Linked DNA regions of Oreochromis niloticus. The protein of the gene in region 3 purifies or fractionates together with the protein of the main gene of each other region. This does not show direct contact. Links are inferred from orthologs where the notes say so. Each region holds a gene or a part of one and is shown on either strand. Other genes may lie near its edges. The genes, in order: myocd, mrtfab and srfb.

Region 1 (7,919 bases), on a different chromosome or scaffold from region 3:
GACAAGACTTTGGAGATACTCTCTGTGTGTGTGTGTGTGTGTGTGTGTGTGTGTGTGTGTGTGTGTGTGTCTGTGTGTAAGCTGCGTGCGTGTGTGTGTGTGTGTGTGTGCAGGGAGAGTAGAGATAACGCTGGGGAGTTAGGTGGCTGGCTTTAAATTTCTTTTTACCATACATGAAATCCACAAACACCATGCAGCCAGGGGGAACTTAAGAGATGGAGATGAGCCTCGAGGTGCAGCTGATGAATGCACAAGACCAGCCAAGCAACATAAAAAGAGATCTGTGTAGCCATTGAAGTGAATTTCAAGCAGTTGTTTCTAATTAGGTCCGGCTCCTGGGATCATCCCAGAAGATACGTTCCTCCTGAACGTCTCTGCTTCTATAAACAATCCTCCTTTGCTTCTTGAGCTGACTGGGCCTCAGACCTGGACCCCAACATTCACCTAAGCCAATATGTCTACACAGACTCACTGCTCGACTTACTTTTGACTAATAATAATCAGATTTGGAATATTTGTCCAGTCCATTTTGGACATTTTAAATTCTGTACATCAGCATTTAAAGGTGTATTCAAATGGAATCTATTTCTCTTAGATGAATTATACCATTACCTTCCTTTGTTGGCTGTTTTAATGCAATCCAGAGTGTACTGGTAACTTTTAATCACATCCATAAATTTGAAAGGTAACAAAGGTATTTTTGCCAGAATAACGATCTTTTTCATTTCTTTTCATTTTTAAGTTCACCAGCATTTATCGGCTCATTATAAATTTACCTGTTTTAAACATGATTTTTTTTTAATGGTATTTGCACACTTGTGACAAATACATCAGCTGAAATAAATTAAAGCTAGGAAGGCTTCTTACTGTCCCAGGTTTAGCCATCGCTTGTGTCCATTATATAAAATTTGTTCCCATTATATGAGGTGAGCTTCCTCTTGTTAACTACGTTGCCCAACATGTGTGATGTAGACAACATGGGGTTTGAAAAAGCTGGTAATAACTCAACATTAGCAAGGAAAGCTCTGACAATGTTGAAGAAGGGACAGCAGCTCTGATCAGTTTAATAAAACAGGCAAGTTGACCAGATGCAGGCTCTGCAACACTTTCAAATTAGCATCTATGAGAATGGCTGAATGTAATAAGTTTAACCAACTGCTTTGCCAATACTTCACATTTATTGCTCATTCATATTTAATCCCCCCTTGTAGATATGAAAAGTTAAACATGTCACACAGTGTTCTTTTAATTTAACAGATTTGGTTTTGTTATTAATATATTATATATATATTTTATAATATAATATTTTAATATACTTTAAAAAAATAAAGATGTAGGCCTTTTTTTCTGAGCTCATGAATAACAGTTGTTTGTTTAATTGTTTAATATGCAATTTTTTTCAAAAGGTTTAAAAATCCGAAAATAAAAAATAATATTATAATAAAAAAATAAATAAAAGCCTGAGATACAGTTATTACTGAAAATCCATTTATTCAGTTTGATTATTGAACTTTAATTGTTTTTTCTTCTTTGTTTTTTTTTTGGGGGGGGGTTGTTTGTTTGTTTGTTTGTTTGTTTGTTTTTTGGTAAAATCTGGTTTTAAAGATGTTGATGCTACAAAAATACTACACTGGAAGGTTTTCCATCCAGTTAATTCAGTTATTTGTTGTTAGTGTTTATTTTCTCTTTGTCTTTATTATTATACTCTTACACACGTACATACAAGTGTGTATATATATATTGCTGTTGTTCTTGTTTTTTTTTTAAAGTTAATAATGACCAAAACAAAGAACTCTAATTGTTTTGAAGGTAGTCGCCATCTTGGTTGCGTACAGCCAAAATTCAGTTTCTGCTGAAATTGAGCAGAAAGATGGAGCTGATACCCGTAAAGGCATCTCGCATGCCATTCTTCACTTTTATTTGATTAATTCATGGAAGTTTTTCTGTCCATATAATTGTTGTTGAAATAGCATTAGCTAGGGGAGAGCTAACAGCTAAAATGTGTAATTTTTTTTTTTAGCTTATTTTTATTTATATTTTTAGCAACATGATATTAACAACAAGGGCAATTATAAAATTTTCTCCTCACCTCTGTCTGGACAATGTTAAGATTAGCATACATTTTATTTATATTACCTGCAGACCATCTTCTAATGGTTTGACCTGGATGGTTGATATCCACTTCTTGCAATATTTTTAGTTGTAGATTTACTTCCTCTTTGTTTTCCTTAAATAGGTAACATCAGCTAACATTAAAGCTGGAAAGTTACAGAAAGACATGAATCTATCATTGCTTTTTTTTTTTCAATTCTATGTTTTAGTTCTTGGTTAGTTCATTTTATCTCATTTTATGTAATGGCAACAAAGATAATCAAGCAGTATTTTACTTTAGTTCAGGAAGGCCTGTGAAGCATATGTTGGTGCTCAGTTGATTTTCTCATAGTTTCTTTAGTTTCAGCATTACCATCTTCTCCATGACTAATAACTGAACTTATAATTGCCTGTACCGTTACAACAAGTTCATCTTTGCATCCTCACTTTAAATGCCTGCTGAGGTTATTATCTTTTTTTCGCTCCATCAGACGCTTACAGTTATGAATCTTAACTCCATGCCTTTGAAGCCAGTATCACAATGCATACTTTAGTGAAGAATCTTCATCCTTTTCTATCATACTTTGATCACAAAGTAGGAGTGAGACACAAAAACTGTTAAAAGAACTTGAATTTGGACGAGTCAAGCAGAGGACAGGTGAAGTTTGCAATTCTTTCTGAATGACACAGCACAATATTATTTCACTGTTATTTATGCTTTAGCTTTGTTATTCCAGATTGCTTCGCTTTATAAAACTTGAGTCCTGAATAAAAGGAAGCCAGATATTTTCAGAATGCTAATTCTCTTATAAATTAGCTTTACTATGCGCCAAACAAAGACGATGAGAAGATATATTGCATAACTCACACTGACTTGTCGGTGGAGGTTTGATACAGCGGCGGGGTAATCCTGATCCACCAAAGGGGTTGTCCTCACCCGGCCCTGTTGCTGCTCCACATGTACTTCGACCGCATGTGTGTTTGTGTGTGAAGCAACGTGTTCTCTCCTCCCAGCAGTCTGAAGCTCTCTTTAGAGCTATTTATAATCAGGGCTCTTGTTTGCAGACTGGGTTGTTACCTCTGCAAGCTTATCTCTGAGTTATTTGATAGAGTAGTGAGGTCATTGGATAAAAGCGATTTCTATAAAGCAATCGTACAACAACTGGAAATTAATGCGTTCCAGTAGCCTAATTAGTTCAATCACTTAGACTGAAAGACTGCTTTATTTTCAAAACTATCCTCCCCGTGCTTGTGTCATCACATTTACACGACATGAAACTCAATTCAAGCTTTGATGTTTATCATAATTATAATTTTCTGTTTACACCTACAAGTGTTAAACTGTTCATCTTCATGTTCACGACTGGTAAACTGGACCAAATAATGACACGTGTCGGAGCTTGGTGTTCCCATGGTTACAACATGATCAAATCTGAAGGTAAATACAGTACACCCCAAGCTGACTTTAACTTTGACAGATCAGAATTAAATGTGCATCAGTTTTCTTCAGTTTGGATTTTTTGTATGGAAAGAACTCCACTAGATTTCATGTGTCTTTTTTCTAACTGCTTTAGTGGTGCAAGTTCAACCAAAATCGAGTTAAACAATTAAAAGATGCTGTGGAAAACTGGAGTACCAGTACTGCTAGCCATTTGGCACATGGGTTGTACAAAATATCCACCAGTACAGCTTCAAAAGTGGGAGTTAAAGCCGGTTTGTATATCCAAAGCACATTTGACTACAGCCTTATATTTTAGATGAATCTCTGTTCGCATAGGTTTTATTGTGATAGACTATTTTGCTTTGTATTTTTATAGGGTTTATAATTCTTTGTATTTCATTTTCTGCATATTTAGTGAACATTATTATTGTGGGGCATTTGAAAATTAACAAGCCCAAAAGCCTTGACACAATAGCCACACTTTAACTACAGTTGGACACTTGTCCAAAGTGTATCTCTTCACATAACTGTATGATCACACAGTATAGCCAAGTTTCTGCCATGTCAATTCTCTTTCTCATCAGTTTGACAGACAGTCCAGCTCCTGGGAAAAGTGGCATTGCGGCTGAATGGAAAGCATTAAGAGCTTTCAGCGACGCCCCAAGGCAGGCTCATATGATACCCTGTAAGAGAGGGGCTAATATTTTACAGTCAGCTTGGTATTTACCAGAAGCTTGTAGCGTTTACCGCAGATCAAGACCAAAGTATCAAAACATTCAGAGGATGAGCGATGAACCTGCCTCTCAGCTGTCTTCCGTCTATTACAGACAAGGGGTTCAGTTGTTGGTCATGAACAGAGAACAGAGAAAAATGCACCATGTCAAAGTTTGGGGGGTAAAAGTTAGACGCCAAACATGACGTCGATGTTAGGCATCTAAAATGTGACACCGAAGAACTCATAGCTTGTGAGGCACAGCCGTGACGTAATCCATGATACATAGCAATAAAATGTAGAAAATCCTCTTTTGTAAAACATGAGAGGGAGAAGTTAGACTGTTTGATTGATGGAATTGTTACAGAGTCTACTTAACAAACCTCTAAATTTAGATCTGATTTCGTATCCCTGTTCTGAGCATGAATTTCTGGCCTCCAACCCAGGCATTACCTCAGCCATGGAGCTTTGAGTGAGTGCGGTGTGCTTGAAGACTGGGCAGAAAGGCTGCTGTCATCCAGTCGTAATAGCAACTATTGGTATGTTGAACCGAGCCCAGCCTGGAGTGTAATGGCAAAACAAGCACAATTGTTCACATCCAGATATATTATTCCTGCTGCTGCAAACTGAAAACATGCTCATGTTTGTGCCGGGCCTCTTCACGCAGGGAGGTAATGAGGGCCAGAGGGGCCAGGTGGTCTGGGTTTCCTCAAAGCTTTCACTCGTATACCTTTATTTGCATTTTGACAAATGTTCCCGTTGTGAATAATCACAGTGCATCAAGTCCACCTTATGAGCTGTAGGCTGATGTAAGAGAAGAAAGAAAGAGGAGAAGATGACATGCACCTCTGCTGAGCTCTGGCCTTCCTTGGGATTAAGGAAGTACTTCATTTGCATTAGAAAAACATAAATTCGTTGTCAAGGCCAGTTGTTCAGCATGTAACATGGATAAACTCAATGAGCTTGGGCTGGATATAAACATGAGTGATCAATTTGTCACATAACTCCAGCGCAGTGTGTATTTACTCCTTTCACATACCAGACTGCTTTAAGCTGCTGTCTACATGTTATTTGAAACAGGCTGCTTTTAGTAATGTACGTAAAAAAGAAGTATTAATGATATTTGAACTCTTTTACTTCTTCAAAGTGCTAATGAGCAGCTTAGCGTCTTTCAGCCTGCTGTCTTATTTTTAAGGCCCTTAGCTTTTTTCTTTAGCTGTCTTTATCTTAATTTGCTGCTTTTTCTTTGCAAATGGCAAAAATGCAAAGTTAACAACTATTCGGTAAAAGCAGCTGTGCATTTACCAGTTTAAGAAAGATGCATTCAGGAGTTGGTGTATATATTGTATTCACTGGGTCATTTACAGTGACACACTCCAAGTCAGTACAATGATGACTAAATGCTAGATGATAAAAGATTAACTGCATGAACATATTCCAGTACCACCTTTACAACTTTACCTTTTCTTTGGTGCCATCATTTCTAACAACAACTCTAACTTGTGTTTACTATACTAAGGGACGTGTCTGATTATGGTTGGTTCTATACAGAGGACCAATACAAAAGCATAAAAAAAGGCATATAAAATGCTGACTTAATCTAAGATGCCCATTTTGGGGACTTGGGAGGAATTTAATCAGGAAGGCAATGGGGGCAATTCCACACAATGAGGCCCCAAAACCAGGAGCTCCCAACCCAGCTTCTCGCTGTGAGCTAACTAAGTACTCCTAACCACTACACCAGTGCAAGTATGTGCAGCTTCTGCAGAGAAGTAGCATGCTTAACGTGACTGTTTGTGAGGACGTGAGCTGTGAGGATAAATAAAATCTGCTGAATAATTTGATTTGGAGGTTGTAACTATTTTTGCATTTTGAACTGAGAGACAGAATAAAAGCTGTCTCTGCATTCCCAGATCTTAGCGGTTCCTTTCATGAGTACAGTGTTACAATAACTGATGGAAAGGTTGGCCAAAACTGTGTAAATAAGACTAAATATATGATAAATCACAAATTTATTTTAACTTTGTGGATTTGGAGCTCTGATGTTCCTCCTTACAATGACTGAACCATATAACCATAAGTTCAACCCAAACCCACTAACTAAACACATATGCCTCCATGGTCTGCATTAATATCTTCAGCAGGGACTGTAACCACCTCGTAAATGACATTGGCAGCACAGGCAAGGACATAAGTGAATTTCCAAGTTTAAAAAAAAATCATACCAGAGTAGAAGGACTGTATTTAAGACGACTGTTTTCTGATTTTCTTTTTCAGTTTAATCCCACCCTTCTTGTGGCCCCTTCAAGGAAATGTGCTCCAAACGCTGCTCTGACCTCTTTTTGTTGAACATCTATTAATGTTGCATTGAATCCTCCTTTGAAAAATGTGCTTCTGTTAAAATGAAGGAGCACAGAAAATGGCTCGCTTAATTCGAATGTAAAATATTAATATATACAGATCAATGAAAACATGATGTGAACATTTCTTTTCCAGGCATGAAATAAGATTTAGGAATGTGGTAATTAAAGCACTGTCAACGTCAATGATTTTCTCCATATGAGGTCTTGTTCTGAAAAACATGACACTGTATTTCACACTTTAAATGGCATGAAAGAATTCACCGGCAACATGTAAGGAGACGTCATGTTTATGTTAAGGGTATTTCTTTCCGCAACCTGTGCAATGTGCACATTTCAAGCTGTTTCGTTTCAATAATCTCACGAGTGAATTTTGAGCAAAACAAAGAGAAAAGCGGCATCTTTTATTTATAGAAGACTTGCAAACATGCTGATCGCATGTTACGCAAATGACATGAATATTTCATGACATAACTCGTATAATGAGCGTTCAAAACAGATTTCATCACACTTCGTGGCCTGAGTCGCAGATGGAACAGAAGAGGCGGAGTGCGATACCCGCAACAGGCATGACTTTCAAAATAAGCACACTGTTTTCCTTTGAAATGAGGTTTAGGGCTCAAAGAGCAGTGAAAGGATTTCTGCTGGGTTATCTATCATTAATACTGCTATCAATACAGTCCACCAGATGATTACTCACTCGAATTTCACCGATAATACCGAAAGAAAAAAAGATCAGTTACTAATGAATTAGATTAATGTTTTAGCTGAGAATTTATGTGACGCAGTCTTGTTGGGTTGTTCTGTTTTATAACATTCACTTGACCTTTCACCATATGCTCGAGTAGCTGCAAAGCTCCACGGGAAATTGAAAGTCAAAATGGTAGGAATTCATCCACATGCTGTCAAACATTTTTGCACAAATTTTCCAGCAAAATATCCAAAATACATGAAAGCACACAGTGATTCCATGAACCCCCAAAGCCCAAACTCTTATCTGGTTTTAAGATTGATTTTGGCCTTCAAAGTCCTGACATCAAACAGGGAGAAAATAGGATTTCATCTCCCAAGCTTTCACCTGCGTGTGTAAACAACGTCCAGGAGTGTCTTTAATACATCAAATGAAGTTTGATGCATATTCTCTTGCAGCCAACATAAACATTACGCTGTTGCTTTTAAATCTAGGAGGACATCTTGGGACAGCCAGCCAGGGCTTAGCGATTACAAGAGAAACTAATTTATGATTCCTTTCTTGTCTGACTTGGTAGGCTAGTTTCAGGAGTGAGGAGAAACACTGCAAAGGTTTCAGCCAGCT
Region 2 (7,377 bases), on a different chromosome or scaffold from region 3:
CTTTAGTTTTTCTACATGTGGCGCTGCAAACCGTGCCGTGCATCAGCAAAGGCAGGCATCGCAGAGACTGGAGGATGATTTTCAAACGATCTCATCAGAACTGGCGACACAGATCAGGTGTCTATGTTGTGAATTTGTAACGTAATATACTGAGTTCTTCACCTGTAAATACAGACCTCATTGTCTGGTACGCGAATGACTTGGCATTTACTGTAAAAGTCCGTTTCGAAAGTCTGTTTTCGAATTTGCATGTGTACTGTGGAATAACATTTGTGCTTCTCCTCTTGCTGTTTAGCTTTGCTGATTTTGTATTCAGAGAGGATATGAAAATGAGAAATGCTACAGAGCAAAGAGCAAACAGATTTCCAAGAAGTGTGTACGTGTTATACAGTTTTAAAAGAAATACATACAAATAAATGTAGACTTACAATAGGTGAAGGTTAAGAACTTGATGAAAAATGGAGGAGCTGAACCTGAGGCACAGGTAAAAATGAAAGACTGAGAAATGTTTGAGAGAAGGAGGGAGGCAGAGGAAGCGGCAGCCTCCTCTGCTCTACAGTTGCCCAAACACTTCTTATTCTTGTGAATCCAGCTCCACAAACCTTAACTGTCATCTTTCTCTTTCTTGTTCAACTCCTTTTCTTTATATTTTTTCTTTTTATTACTATGAATTCTTTTATCTTTTTTTCTTGTGCTCCACCTCCATCTGTTCCATCTCCCTTATTTTGAAAACCCTGGAGCATTTTGGGGATGTTCTTTCTTAAACAGCATTCCTGCAGCTCCTAATTCTTCTGCTCCAGGTTTTCTTTCTCCTTTTCAATTACTTCTTGTCATACTTTGCCGTACTTTCCCTGCCCTTTGTTATACATATGTAGAAGTATTCCTTCTTCTTCTGCCTCTTTTTACTCCTTTACTATTTTTTTAGTCTGGTCTTCATATTTTTGCTGCAGTTCCTTATACTTTTGTCCCACTTCTTTTTTCAGATGCAGTACTTCTTCTATCTTCCAGAAGTTTTTGGACTAACACATTCACGGTCTTCAACCTTTGCTGTAACAAATCCCCCTCTGTGTTTTATATGTATGCTTTGGATCACTATCTGCTTGGCCAAATAGCTGCATTTTGCAGAAGGTATTTTGGCAGACGTTTAGGTAAATATTTCAATGTACTGCATAGGTGATGGAGCATAGGTGACGACACATTAACAGACAGCAACAACTGTATGCTGCAATGGCGGATGATATCCACGGCTTTTTCATTGGCAAGACAAATGTCATTTTGAAACGGGTACACCTTAATATGACAAAATGGTTCATAATGAAGTAATCAGAGACAGGCTGGTTGTAGGGCTCGCTGATATACACACCAGCACATGTAACTGGATGAGGATCTCGTGCTAATCAGTAACAGTAAAACAACAACAGAGTGACTTATGTAGGAATACTGTGTGAAAAAGAGAGACATGCTTGGTAGGTAGAGTAATGAGCAGAGTCAAACAGACTTCTTTGTTTTTGTCTTTCAGAGACAAAAACAAGTTAGGGAAATAAACACAACTGTGGACATGTAGAGACAAGCAGAGTGTTACAAATGTGGGGAAATTCCATTATAAGCCAAAGAGTAAAGTGTAAAACATGCAATATTATAAAAGAGTGTGTGCTTCATTAAGAGCTGGTGCAAGAAAAAGATGGAAGCATATTCATTGGGAGCATAACAGGAAAAGGAGATCCACTGACTGTGGATCTAAAGCCCAAGGACAGGACTATCACATTTAAAATTGACACTGATGCTGATATGACTGTCATTCCTGACCTGATTCAATGTGATGTTCATAGATGTGAAACCAACTCTTGAGAAAGAAAAGAAGCCCATAAGGTGGTATACCACTGAGCATCCTACGGTTCACAAACTTAACACTACAAAAAGAAGAAAAACCAATAGGTTTTACATCTTTGTGATCAGTAACCGGCACTCTCCTGCTCAGGGCTAGTGGACTCAGCTAGTCGCTAGTGGCTAACAGACCCAAGTCATGAAAATGTATCAGGACGGATGGCTAGAGAGCAGATCATTAAAGTTTGGTAAAGCTGCACTATGCAGATGCCTGCTTTATTTTGCATGATGGCCTCTAGTTAAAAAGGGCATAAGTGGTCATTCCTGCAGCTTTAAGAAACGGTGTCCTCAGCAGGCTACATGAGGGGTAGCTAAATGCATGCGGAACATGCGTGTGAGCCAAAAGGAGCCATTGCTCCCAACAGATCTCCTGGAGAGACCCTGGAAGGAGGTGAGGGCAGACCTGTTTACACTCAAATGGAAAATGTACTTGCTGTTAGTGGAGTGTTACTCGAGCTATGTTGAAATGGCCAACCTCCACCACATAAAGTTTGCTGATGTCACTGTCAATCTGAAATCAGGGTGCCTGAGATCTTAAGGACTGGCAATGGGCCACAGCTCTCAGCGGGTGTCACAACGTTTTCTGATACATACAGTTTCAAACATGTGAGCAGCAGTGCACAGTTCCCACAAACCAATGGGGAGGCTAAACAGGCTGTTTAAAAAAGACCAGATCAGTACTTCTGCATATCTTGTCGTCCCACTTAAAAATGTGTTTCAGCCCAGCTCAACGTCTGATTTGGTGCCAGCTTGGTTCCACTGTGCTGACCCAGCAGTGCTTCCCGACAGCGCAGCGGTCATCGTAAAGGAGAAAGGACAGAATGAATTCACATCAGAGATTCTTCAACAGGCATCACTGTGCACAGGAGTTCAGTTATCCCCCTACGTGGGAACAGGCGTGGTTGAACTGCACTCTAGTTCCTTCCCTACAAAAACCAACACCCGGACCTTTTCCAAATAGCACCACAGTCATAACTAAGTCAGGCAGAGCAGTTTTGAAACCACAGGACTGGACTGAACTTGTAAACAACTGCGCAAACAGAGATTATCCTTAGTTTGAAAGCTACTGCATTATGATGAAACTTGGGCTGTTGCTGGGCTGTTGGGGTAAAAAGTTTGTTATCTTCAAAAGAAACAAAAGAGCAAAGCTGCGTTCAAGTTAAGAATCTATTCAACAGTAACTAAATCCAAAGTGAAAGATTTTATTTCCTCCTTAAAAAGGGAGCTGGTGTGATGTTGGTTATGTAAGGAGGCCCAGAGGATTCTGGGTAATGTTGTTTTTATTGTAGTAGGGGGCTCCAGTTCTAGTAGTCTCACATTCAGAATCAGAATCAGAAAGACTTAATTAAGCTAGAACAGAGCAGCATGACGTTGAAGATAAGGACAGGGCATTAACAGGCAATACGAGTGAGATAATAAATACACAGAATATACAGTTTATACACAGTTTTAAATACACAGGAATTAAGGGAGCCTTATACAGTGAAGACCTATAAAATATAACTCAAGACTCTGAATCAACTTCATACATGAAGTCTGCTTCATTTGTCAGGAAATAACAGAACAGTCCTCACTTTTCCATGAAACTGAAGTACCTGTCGTTCAATTATGAACCTCTGAATGTCAAAGGCTGGAGATACACAATACACAATGAAGGTAAAGCTGAAGAACTTAAAATCCATCCGGGGCCCCTGATTGAAGGGTGTCTCCTGGCCGGGTGGATATCTAAGGAGCAACCTGATTGATCCTGCCAGTAGCATGTGCTTGTCTCAGTGATTAAACTGTGCATGTCTAAGTACACGTGGTGATTACAGTGAAACTGTGAATGGTGCATGAAATCCCTTATGGTTCCTTTGATCGCTCAGCCATTATTTGAATAACAATGGTAATCCGAGGGCTAATAAGTATAAAGTATAAGGGAAAGCTAGATAGAAACCCAGACTTAGAAATCTAAGTGCACCAAGATAATTAAACAGAAAATCTGGGGCTATGTATAAAAATGGACCTTATATTATTTTTATTTGGTTTGCAGAAAAAGCTTTACCATAAAATAAAACACTGATTATTCTACAAATATAAATCCAAATAATCTGAATCAATAACTACATTACATACATCAATAAATATTTTTTTTATTTACTTTTATCTAAACGCATCTCTGTTTGTCTTTCAGACTAAGAATTGGTATGTCAGTTTGGCTTTGTTTATTAAAAATCACATAAAAGATACATTATTGGATTAAGAATATTACAAAGAAAAAAAGATTGTAGCATTGCAAACTTCAGACCGAAGTGAAAATCACATAGAAAAACGCGCTTCTTTATTTTAGAGATATAAATATAACGCTAATACCTGTAGCTCCGTGTGTCCTGAAGTACACGCAGTTGAACACTAGAGGGAGACAGAGACTGCGCATGTGTGACAGAAACAGTTCTCAGAAGTGCAAACACACTCTCCACTTCAAGTTAAACAGCATACCTATTTTTGTGGCGAGGGCAGTGTTTTAAAGGGATATGCGGACAAAGCTCCGCTCTTTTATCTCCTGTTACCGAAGCGGGCTGAACCCGTGGGAACGGCGTAGCGAAGGAAGTGGGTCTCTGCGTCCCACGCAGAGGAGGGTTTTCCGGTCAAAGTTTCCTTTGTGATTCGGGGGTGGCGCTGTGATGCCAAAGGCGTTTATCCTCACAGACACAACACACAAGTGGCGAACATTATGAGTAAGCATAAAAATACAAATTCATGGTTTGGAGTTAGAGCAGCATCTTGATTTCTATTCAGCGAGAGTAACAGCGTGGCAGATAACTGATCGTAGGCGTTAGCACTTAGAGGTGATGTTGTTATGGCATGCTAACGGTTGCTAGCTAACTTGGGGTGTCTGTGTCTGCAGTCAGCAGGGGAGCCGAAGAGTTTTCAGCTGAAGCCGGTGTCAGCGTTAAATACTTTATTGTTGTATTTGATAGCGTTTCACGTTCAGTGTGGCGCGTGTGTCCGCTTTTCTATAGCAGCCCGACTTTGGCTCGCGTATTGAATGTTTAGGTTCACTCCCACCCAGACAGGCTAACAATAGCTTAGCATGCCTGTGTGTTTTGGACAGTGACAGCTGCAGGCTGCGGCCCCATGACATCTGTGGAAAGGCCTCCTGAAACGTGGATTTCTTTAGCCCATCTTATCAGTTGTCATGAGTCTTTTTTCAAAACGTCTTTTACTATTGTAGATCTTTTTTCTTTTCTTTTTTTTTCCTGCACATGCCCTGGTTACTGTGATACAGCTGCTCAGCATCATAGTACGTACAAGTAGTGGATCAGAAGAGCAAAGGGGTATAACAGACTATTTGTACTGAAGCTTTGCTCTTATTTTGTTTTACAGGACCGTTCAAAGCTCTGTCCTCCTGAAATGGGAAAACCCCCCTTCCAGATTTTGTAACACAGGTAAGCAACAAGCCTTGTTCACATCTGGCCTAGTTTATGATAAGCCAGGTTGCAACCACATCCTTTTACCTGTTTGCTGGGGAACTGAAAAGCTCTTGTAATTCTTGGTAGCTGGTTTCCTGTGACTGATGGTGAAACAGCCCTGGCTGTCAGGACGTGTGTGCCTCGCAGTGTGTACCAGTGTAATGATGATGCATATCTGAAAGGCTAGTGTGGGCGTGTAGGGAGGAATGCTTCCAGTGTGTTTCAGCATTTGAATGTACTATTCAGCAGAATAGCACATTATGCATGTTTGAACAGCAGCTGTTTGCTGGGGAAAGTAGGGATGAGGCAACTGTGAAGATCTGTCATCCTTCATTCGTGATTTGGAGGTTAATTTAATGTGTGACACTTGATATTTAGGTCACTGGCTTTATTGTATTAAGCTAGCTTTTGTGTGAGGCCTCGACAAAAGCTGCAGACATAACGCCTCGCAGTTTTTCTCACCTGTTGTCGAGGAGATAGGCATCTCAGCGTGGTGTGCTGAAACAAAGATCACACATCAGATTGAAGAAGCAAGTGCATGCATTATCTTGCGTGTCTCATCGTGTTGGCTTACGCTGTTATTGAGCTCATGTAGATATAGCACTAAATAATTTCTTTATACAACTATTTAGTCTCAATTATTGATTTAATGTTATTTTAGCAAGGTTTTCTGAGCCTTTCTAAACCAGTTTTCTGATTTGTTTTCTCTGGGTGAGCAGTCAGGCGGTCTAACTAGACTAGTTTTGGCTGTTGTCATCTGTAAAATGATTCCAAATCTCTTGTGTGATCAGGTCAAAAAGTCATTGTTAAATATCAGGTGACTTTGACAGCTGGACAGAATGGTGAAAAAATGCTTATGCAGTTTGATTTCTGTCTGTAACATGTATACGCACTGATACAGGGTTATTTGGACCAGCTATATAATTTGTTTAAATAATTGTCATCTTATTAAATCATATTAAATTATAACATTTTGCTAATTTTTAGCTGTATTTTATTAGGTCTGTCATTGACTAGTAATGAGAGAATCTGGTTTATAATTTGTAAAAGTGGGTTGTGTTAGCCTGTGAGAGACCGGTGACCTGTTTTTCACCCTTTCACAGCTGCGTTAGACCCTAAAATGAGATGGATGGATGCTCTGTATAAGGTGCAGATACTTACTGAGTAAAAGCCTTGTGCCAGATAAATGACTGAACAATATGTTTAGTTGTTTCTTTAGAGAATCTCTTGTCCATGTGTCGAACCCCCGACTCTAGCATCTTGGACAGCAGCTGCCAGCGTGAACTCGCTCAGATGGATGAAAAAGTAAATTAAAGTCTATTTGTGAGGAAACTCAGCCCCAGAGATCAGAGAAGACTGATTTTTAATCCAGTTTTAACGACTCAAAATTATTATTTTCCATAAAAAGTAACACTATTTACCTACATTCTGATAGGTTCACAATTTTTTTTATCTCTCTGCTTTAATTGACTTAAAAATAACATTTGTCTTCTATCAACTGCTATCTAAGTGTTTTATGTTTGTCGCGATCAAACGTGCAGTGATCCAGTGAGATCAAGAGAAACTTTAGTGTCGTGCGGTTAGTGTGTCGCTATTCAGACGTGTGAGCTTGTGTTTGATTGTGAGAGAAAGAGAGGAGCAGCATCTCAGACAACACTGCCTCATTGTTTGCAGCCCCGCTGTGCAGTAATGACAGAATCCCCATCAGAACCCCACAGCTAGAAAACACATATTTGCAGAGAGCGCAAGAGGGAAATCAGCACACAGCACAGCGGCAGGTCCTGCCTTTGTAAACAACCATTAGCGAGTAGCTGTCAAAAGTTACCGGGCCTGCTCAGTCCAGAGGAGTGTTTGAGAAAGGAACCAGTTACACCAGGCTTGTGCCAGTAAATCAGGAAAATCTCTTCCATGACATGGTTTTGAATGGTTTGACTATTCACAGGAAGGTTAGCCTTCAGGCTTCGCTTCTTCACACGCTTAACCAGTTTGCGGTATAAATGTACCTGCCAGTCAGAAAGCAACAGCAATTTTAAGAATTTTT
Region 3 (7,063 bases):
ATAGATAAAGGTTTATCCTTCCTTGAGCAGTCTTGTAGGAATTCTGTCTAAAAGACGTTGATGGTTTGGAGCAAGTAATGTGTGTGACGCTGACAAGTTATTATTTCTCCAATGGTTACAATTTTATTTGTGAAGAAATTCATGAAGTCATTACTTAAAGGCACAAAAGCAACTTTTTAAAAATGTAATGTCATTTCAATTTAATGAAAGAATGATTCGTCATTTAACTCATCAAAGCAGGAAAAACTTTAGGTGTAAGAAATAGCATAATGAATATATGGACGCGCTCCATTTAGCCGAGGCCATTCCACAGCACTGCACCTGAGCTGAGTCACACCTAATGTTCTTCATACCACTTGTGCTGCTTTTCCCACTATAGAAAGTCATATCATATATGCCACATATTAGTATTAATTGAGTAACCCTGAACCTCAAACTGACGTAATTATTTAACAGGGTGTGTTTGGCTGCAAGCTGAGGCACACATAAGAAGAGAACAAACAGGCCTGTGCTACACTAACGGCATCCTTCAAAATGAAAGTGGGCTCATCCTAGACCAATCTATGAATCTTCCCACTCCACCCACCTGTCATTTTCTGTGATGGCTGGCATAGTGTGGGCAACCTTTTCAAAAAAAAAAAAAAGAAAAGAGAAAAGAAAACCATCCCCACACTGTGTCAAATAGTGTTCATGTTGCCAAGAGCCTACATAAAGACACCTCAGTTTCCACGACAACAGTCTGGGATACATAAAAAGAGAGAAACACAGCAGAGCGCATGGTGCAGCCGTATCGAAGAAACACAGGGACAAGTTAAAGGAAAGAGAAAAAAACTCCTGGACTCCAATAAAGCACCGCTTACAAGTGTTTATTTAAAGTCATAATGAAAAGTGGCCGAGTCCACATCACAATAACTGCTGGGCTTGTGGTCAACAGCTGACCCCAGCTCAAGTAATCCACTCTCCGTGACTCTATACCAAACTGTGGTGTTTTATTGTGGCATCAAATCGTGTGGGTGAGCTGTGAATTTCCTCAGAAATGTTGCTTTAAGGAGACAGTAATGGGAGCAGTTATGACTGAGAAGCAAGCTTTGTCATCTTTAATGTCGCCTGCTTATGAGCCAGAGTCAACTGACAAAAGTGGAAACCAGGACAAGTCATCAGTGAGACTTGGACGTCTGTGTAATGTACAGCACCATAATGCATGCACAGACAGACAGCACCCCCCCACTACCACACAACCCAGGCTTCTCGCTTCTGTCTCAGTGTTCTTTGACCGTTCTTTGGTCCGTTTCCCTGGGGTTTTGTTAGCTGTTGGCACATACAGGCCGACTGCTGCTTACTGCCACATGGCTGCCGCCTGTAAGCAGTGACAGAGGGAACAGGCTGTGACTTGTGATGAGAACAACATCTAATAGTTGCAAGGATGTCTGTGAAGGTGTGTGGGGGTATGTGTGCAGGTATGCATGCATGAATGAGTGGGTCAGTTTATAAGTTTCTGTGTGTGATAGTTGAGATTGGGGGTGTCATAAATAGACCTGTCATTTGCTCTATTCTATTTAAAGCCCAGTGGCTGTCATGAATGTTCTGACTTCCTCACATCCACTGAGTCACTTCTGGACCACAATGGCTTTGTCTTTCATAAGAAATACACTGACACAAGACTGACATCAGGTCAGCAGCATGTAGGCTCACATGAAAAAAAAAACAACAACCCAAAAACAAACCCAAAGTCTTTCTTGTGGTTATTGTAATAACAGATGCACACTGTCCCAGGGTGCTGTGATTTTTTTTTTTTTAAAGGTTATTAACAAGTGCACTTCCATGAATGACTGCAAAGCACCCTACAGTGTGACACTGCTGTACTTCCAGGCCAATCAACAGCTAAAAGAGACTCTCAAATCAAACGCTGGCGCAGCTGGATGAGATCCAGACGCATCACCTGACTCACCTTCTTCATTATGCCCGTCTTCCTCTTGCTGAATGTGGTGTACCGTCTCAGCTTGTTGTCAATAAATTCCATCTTTATCTTTACGCGTCCACGTGTCTTCTTGCCCGGTTTTGCCCCGGCGACCCCTCCGGGCACCATGCTGTAACCTCCGGGCGATACTCCTACCTCCTGTCCCGACACCGCAGCCTCCATCTCCCCTCTCTCCCGCTTCACCCCTCTCCTGCTGTCCCCAAGTGAACCCACGGGTTCGTCATCATCTCCGGAGTCCGAGTCGTTATCTGAGCCGCTGCACAGAGGCGCACTCTCCCGGTCCGGATCGAAGCGGGCTCCGTGAGGCAACATGACTCCTGGACTTAAGCCCACCATGCTGCTTTGAACGGAAGTCTGAAGAGGGTTTACACCGGTCCCGTTCCCCGGCCTCGCACCTCTCGGACCCCCTGGACCATTAGCTCCCAGCATCCCAATGGTATCTCTGTCCCCCTGTCGCCCTGCAGCACCGGTACTCTCGCTGACCCCCGGTAGAGCTTGCCCTGATCTGACAAGAACGGGACGAATCCCGCTGCCGACCAACCCCGAGCCGTGTTGTGTTGTACCCCTGCCTGAACCCGAGCCGTTTCCAGATGGTGCCGATCCAACCTGGCTCGGTAACATTATATATTTACTGGAGCGAGTTTTTTAAACACCAGCCAAGAAAGCTGGATTCGGTTGCCTCGTAAATGACTGATAAAACGCATACACGTCCGGGCCACGATATGTAAACAAACCCGACCAAATGATGGTTCAGAGACTCCAGGAAATTACCGAGACAAACTTTCGAAAGTGATGCTGCCCCCAAGACCCTTCAACCCCGGCTCAGTTTGCTTCACCCTCCTCCTCTATTTCCAAAACTCTGAGCACTTTCTCAAAAAGGAAAGCGCGAAGAGCGACCTCCATATTGTTGCGCCACGTCACCTAGTCCGCCCTGTGAACCGAAAATAGCTCTAGTGTCGATTTGCTCGCACACAAGTCGAAGTTTCTCTCAGATAATGTTACAGTATTTCTCTTTCCGCGTGTCACAAACGAACATAAACCTCAAAATTTAAGACAGCGCAAGCGATAGCGGAGTAATACCTCAGCCGAGGAACTACTTCCCTCCTTATAAAGAGATACAATGTTTCCTTATTTGGTGCTGTCTCTCCTTATTTGGTGAGTCACAGCGTCGTGTACGGATTGGTTGAGGATTATCTGAGTAGTGCTGTCATTGGTCAGCGAAGCACACTCATTAGAATAAATACCAAAATGGTTGCGCTAACTGACAACGTCACCGTGGAGAAGTAAAGAGGCACCAACATAACAAAACATCCAACTTTTATTTTATTTATTTATCTTAATTACCCACAGGTTGTAGCGCCTATAACACACAGCAAACTCCCATTTTCCCGGAAGTTGAACTATATAATCTCCTTTTATCTGAAGCGCATGTGTGCAGCACTGTTACTGTAGATAATTCAGCAATATGAGATAATTTAAGGTGCCAGATTATCGCACACCGACTTGCACAGGGAATGTAACTGTAATAAGCAAGTTCCCTTGAGTATGAAGCCTGCTGCTTCCTACCAACTTTTTAATAACGCCACTGTTAAGCAAGGTGCATTCTCTGTCTGTTTGCTTCATCTTGTTCACCTTTGCACCAATTCCAGCCCTCTTAGTAAAATGTGTTACCAGTGTCGTCAGAGATGGCTTCCTCCTCTACAAGTAGACCTGACAGCAAGGACAAACCAGCTTAAACTGATGTCATTCATCATTAGGCTTTCTTTGAAACGTGTAATCCGTATTCATTTAAAAGAAAAAAAAAGTATCAGAGGGAAATCAGTCAGAGGCACTTAGGTGTGCTGTTTGAAACGATGGAACAACCTCCACCCACCTGGTCTTACGGGCAAGTTAAAACAAACGCCAGAGTTTTGAGGCATTTGAAGATGGTTCAGTGGCAGGATGCTCAGGGGATTTTTATTGCAAGTGAACTACAAAATCGAAAGTTCGGTGAAACGCAGATTTACTCGGAAAATTGTTATAATATCACCGCAGTGGAAAGACATTTATTGCGTTAACAGACTCATTTCTATTCAGTGTTGCTTCTCGGCATGTCACGCGCACCGAACGAGGCCCAAAAAGTGACATGCGCACGGTGCTGTGTGCAAATCTCAAGCGAAGTCCCCCCCCAACACACACACACACACACACGCGCGCGCACACACACACACACACACACACACACACACAGAGTGCACAGTGCTCAAAGTTTGGAGGAGACCCATAACGACTGAGGAAGTGCTAAAACTCACTGAGCACGTAGACCCATTGAGGAAACTTCTTTAAAAGCTAGTTACCACATTAAACTGTAAACAAATTATAATGGGGAAAAAATGTTTGGCAAGCCTCAAGGGTCAGGTTTAATCCTTACCTAACCGCACAGCGCCCTCTAGTGGCTACAACAGAGACTTTTTATTTGGATAAAGAAAAAAGTAGTGCTGGATGTACTTTTACAAGGTCATACAAGTGGTTTAACAAACTACAGCCCAACACTATAAAGTACAAATACTTCTAGTTCTGCTTCCACACACACACCCCTCCTCCCGCCCCCACCACTACCACACACACTTTAATGATCTGTGTGTGTATATAACTTGTAGAGACTTGCGAGAGATAAGCAATCCACCTCATTGAAGATTTCATCACTTATTCTTAACCTCATATTTTGTTGTAATGCAGGCTGCAAGAAGAGAGTGTCACACAACACTCTTGTATCAGTGAAGAAGCCACCAGCTCCACGATTTACAACATATTTTCGCTTGAATACACAAACGAGGCATTTACTTCTCACAAATCAAACACCTTATTTGGGTGAACTTGTTACAGCTGAATTACCACATTTTTTTTTTTTCAAATATTTGTTACAGCCTCAGCATAAACACTGACCTGAAAATATTAAGAAGTTAAAGTAACTGTCACAACAAACTGGGTAAAAACACTGTGAACCTTTATTGACAGCAGCATGTATGCTTTTGTATATATCTGTGATTACTGTGAACATGTGCTGAAGCAGATTAAAAAAAAGAAAAAGAGGTCTAGTTGTGAGTGCCTAGCATTCATAAAAACAAAATATTACACTAAAAACAACGTATAAAAACAGGTTCATAAACAAAGGCCATCGCATTTGATTAGATGATGTAAAAACAACAACAAACAAAAAGGGAAACGGTTAAGATAATCCTTCATTTACTAGGCACTTAAACGAGCACTGGTGACCTGCGGTCACTCTTTTGACCTCCTTTGTACTTTGTGTTAGCGTATCCAGACGGTTACCAGACTGAACGCACACCGAGATGGACCGTGAGAATGAATACATAGCATAAACTACCTCACAGAAGTACCTTTCTATTACAGTTTAAAAAAAAACAGGACCTTCATCATAAATAACCAGGCACCTGCATGTCCTTCTACACAACATGATATATATATATATATATAAAAAGGATAATCTTTTAAGTGAAGTTAGTGCAAGGCTTCTAACATTATGTACACACTGCCTGGTGTGATGGTCCGCTTCGCAGCATTGCACAAAACAGGTGGACCAGGAGAGAAACTGTGATTGGACCTCTGGAGAGAATAAAGCAGGTCAAACGTGGCGGCGGGTTCAATTCCTGCAGCTGAGAGGACACAATGGTGTTTGTGTGGTAAAAATGAGTACTCCTACCCATCAGCAGTGACCTGTAAGCACCTCAAAGTTAACAGACAAACAGAGCACACTTATAAAAATGTATAAAGCCCACACTGGCACGATCTCATCTGTTCAACATGTTCCTTGGCTATAAAACTTGTTTCTTTGTTGCTGTTGTTCCTGAAGTGTTACCGTAACACGGATTACTTGTTTTCCACAAACCTTCATGCAAACCCCCATTCCTTATCTGTCTGTAGGGACAACAGTTCAGTGCATGTACACACACACACTCACTCAAACACACAAAAGCAAACAATTTGAGGGATTGTACCCGGTGGAGAGAGAGCAGACATCTGAGGGGTCAGGGTGGCGGACTCAGGATGCAGCTCGATGTAATTGCGAGGGGAACAGACCAGTTTAAACGACCTCACTCGGCACACTCGTAAAGTGGCTGATTATCTACAGAGGCTTCATTGCTCCACTGCAGTCCCACTGTGCCCCACTTTCTCTTCAATATCCTCTTTAGATTAATGAGAAAACTCCAAGGAGTTAAGTGGTGACGTGACATTTCAGGCAAATCCTTCGCACTAATCAGAGCCAGCGAATGCACCATCATTCCTACAAAGTTAGAGAGTGCGTGAGTGTGTGCGTGTGTGTGTGGAGGGGCAGAGGCACTGAGGTTGTGAGGCTCCGTGAAACGAAAACGGCCGCAGACGGGCGGGGTCACAGTGGAACCACAGGCTGGAGGTGGGGGAGGATCGTCCGTGCTGCAGTGAAGGCAAACTCCTGGCACTGCTCGCACGAAGCCATTCATACAAAGGTGAGTGCAGTTCCACTCATATAGCAAACAAGTCTAATCCACACTCAAAAAATTGTTGAAATGCATAAAAAATTAAAGTTTTTTTTTTTCTTTTTTCTTCCCCCTCAACCCTCTTCCCTGAAATGTGTGAGACTAAATAATCCAGCATTCCTGTCTGTATTTTAGGGGAAGGGGGGCGGGGCAGAGTTGGTAACAGTTCCTTTCTGCTGTGAGATGATTGGTCACTTCAGACTTTGCTGTCAGAAGGCAGCTCTCCCAGGGCGTGGACGATGTCGGTGAACGAGGGGCGCTCTTTGAGGCTCAGCGCCCAGCAGCGCACCATCAGCTTGTAGATTTTAGAGGGGCATCCGTCCGGAAGGGGTAGCTTCAGCTTTCCTGCCTGCAGACCTGCAGAAAAATGGGATGAGATGCCTTTTAAAGAGCGATCCCCTCTTCCTGGGGTAAAGACAGTAATGTGTTGCAGCATCAAACTCACCTTCTAACACTTCGTCGTCGCTCAGTTTGGTGTATGGCATTTCCCCATGACTGAATACTTCCCACATCAACACTCCGAAGGCCCACACGTCCGACTTGGTGGAGAAGTCATCCTCAAACACAG

Evidence for each region.
Region 1: the proteins of srfb (region 3) and myocd purify together in Homo sapiens (affinity purification with western blotting; 3 studies listed by BioGRID and IntAct, with this or other methods). This does not show direct contact. The link is inferred for Oreochromis niloticus from reciprocal best matches to the Homo sapiens genes SRF and MYOCD.
Region 2: the proteins of srfb (region 3) and mrtfab purify together in Homo sapiens (affinity purification with western blotting; 4 studies listed by BioGRID and IntAct, with this or other methods). This does not show direct contact. The link is inferred for Oreochromis niloticus from reciprocal best matches to the Homo sapiens genes SRF and MRTFA.

The regions. Positions count from the first base shown.
Region 1 is NC_031973.2:26,309,342-26,317,260, forward strand, and holds the start of myocd (myocardin), read right to left. Parts: upstream 3,048-7,919; 5' UTR 2,960-3,047; intron 1-2,959. UniProt on the Homo sapiens protein: Smooth muscle cells (SM) and cardiac muscle cells-specific transcriptional factor which uses the canonical single or multiple CArG boxes DNA sequence. Acts as a cofactor of serum response factor (SRF) with the potential to modulate SRF-target genes.
Region 2 is NC_031973.2:22,380,045-22,387,421, reverse strand, and holds the start of mrtfab (myocardin related transcription factor Ab), read left to right. Parts: upstream 1-4,333; 5' UTR 4,334-4,601; intron 4,602-4,683; exon of another isoform or gene 4,684-5,167; intron 5,168-5,250; 5' UTR 5,251-5,312; intron 5,313-7,377. UniProt on the Homo sapiens protein: Transcription coactivator that associates with the serum response factor (SRF) transcription factor to control expression of genes regulating the cytoskeleton during development, morphogenesis and cell migration.
Region 3 is NC_031978.2:24,478,242-24,485,304, reverse strand, and holds the start of srfb (serum response factor b), read right to left. Parts: upstream 3,082-7,063; 5' UTR 2,600-3,081; coding exon 1,949-2,599; intron 1-1,948. Other genes in the region: ptk7b (inactive tyrosine-protein kinase 7), read right to left, coding at 6,692-6,852, 6,941-7,063. UniProt on the Homo sapiens protein: SRF is a transcription factor that binds to the serum response element (SRE), a short sequence of dyad symmetry located 300 bp to the 5' of the site of transcription initiation of some genes (such as FOS).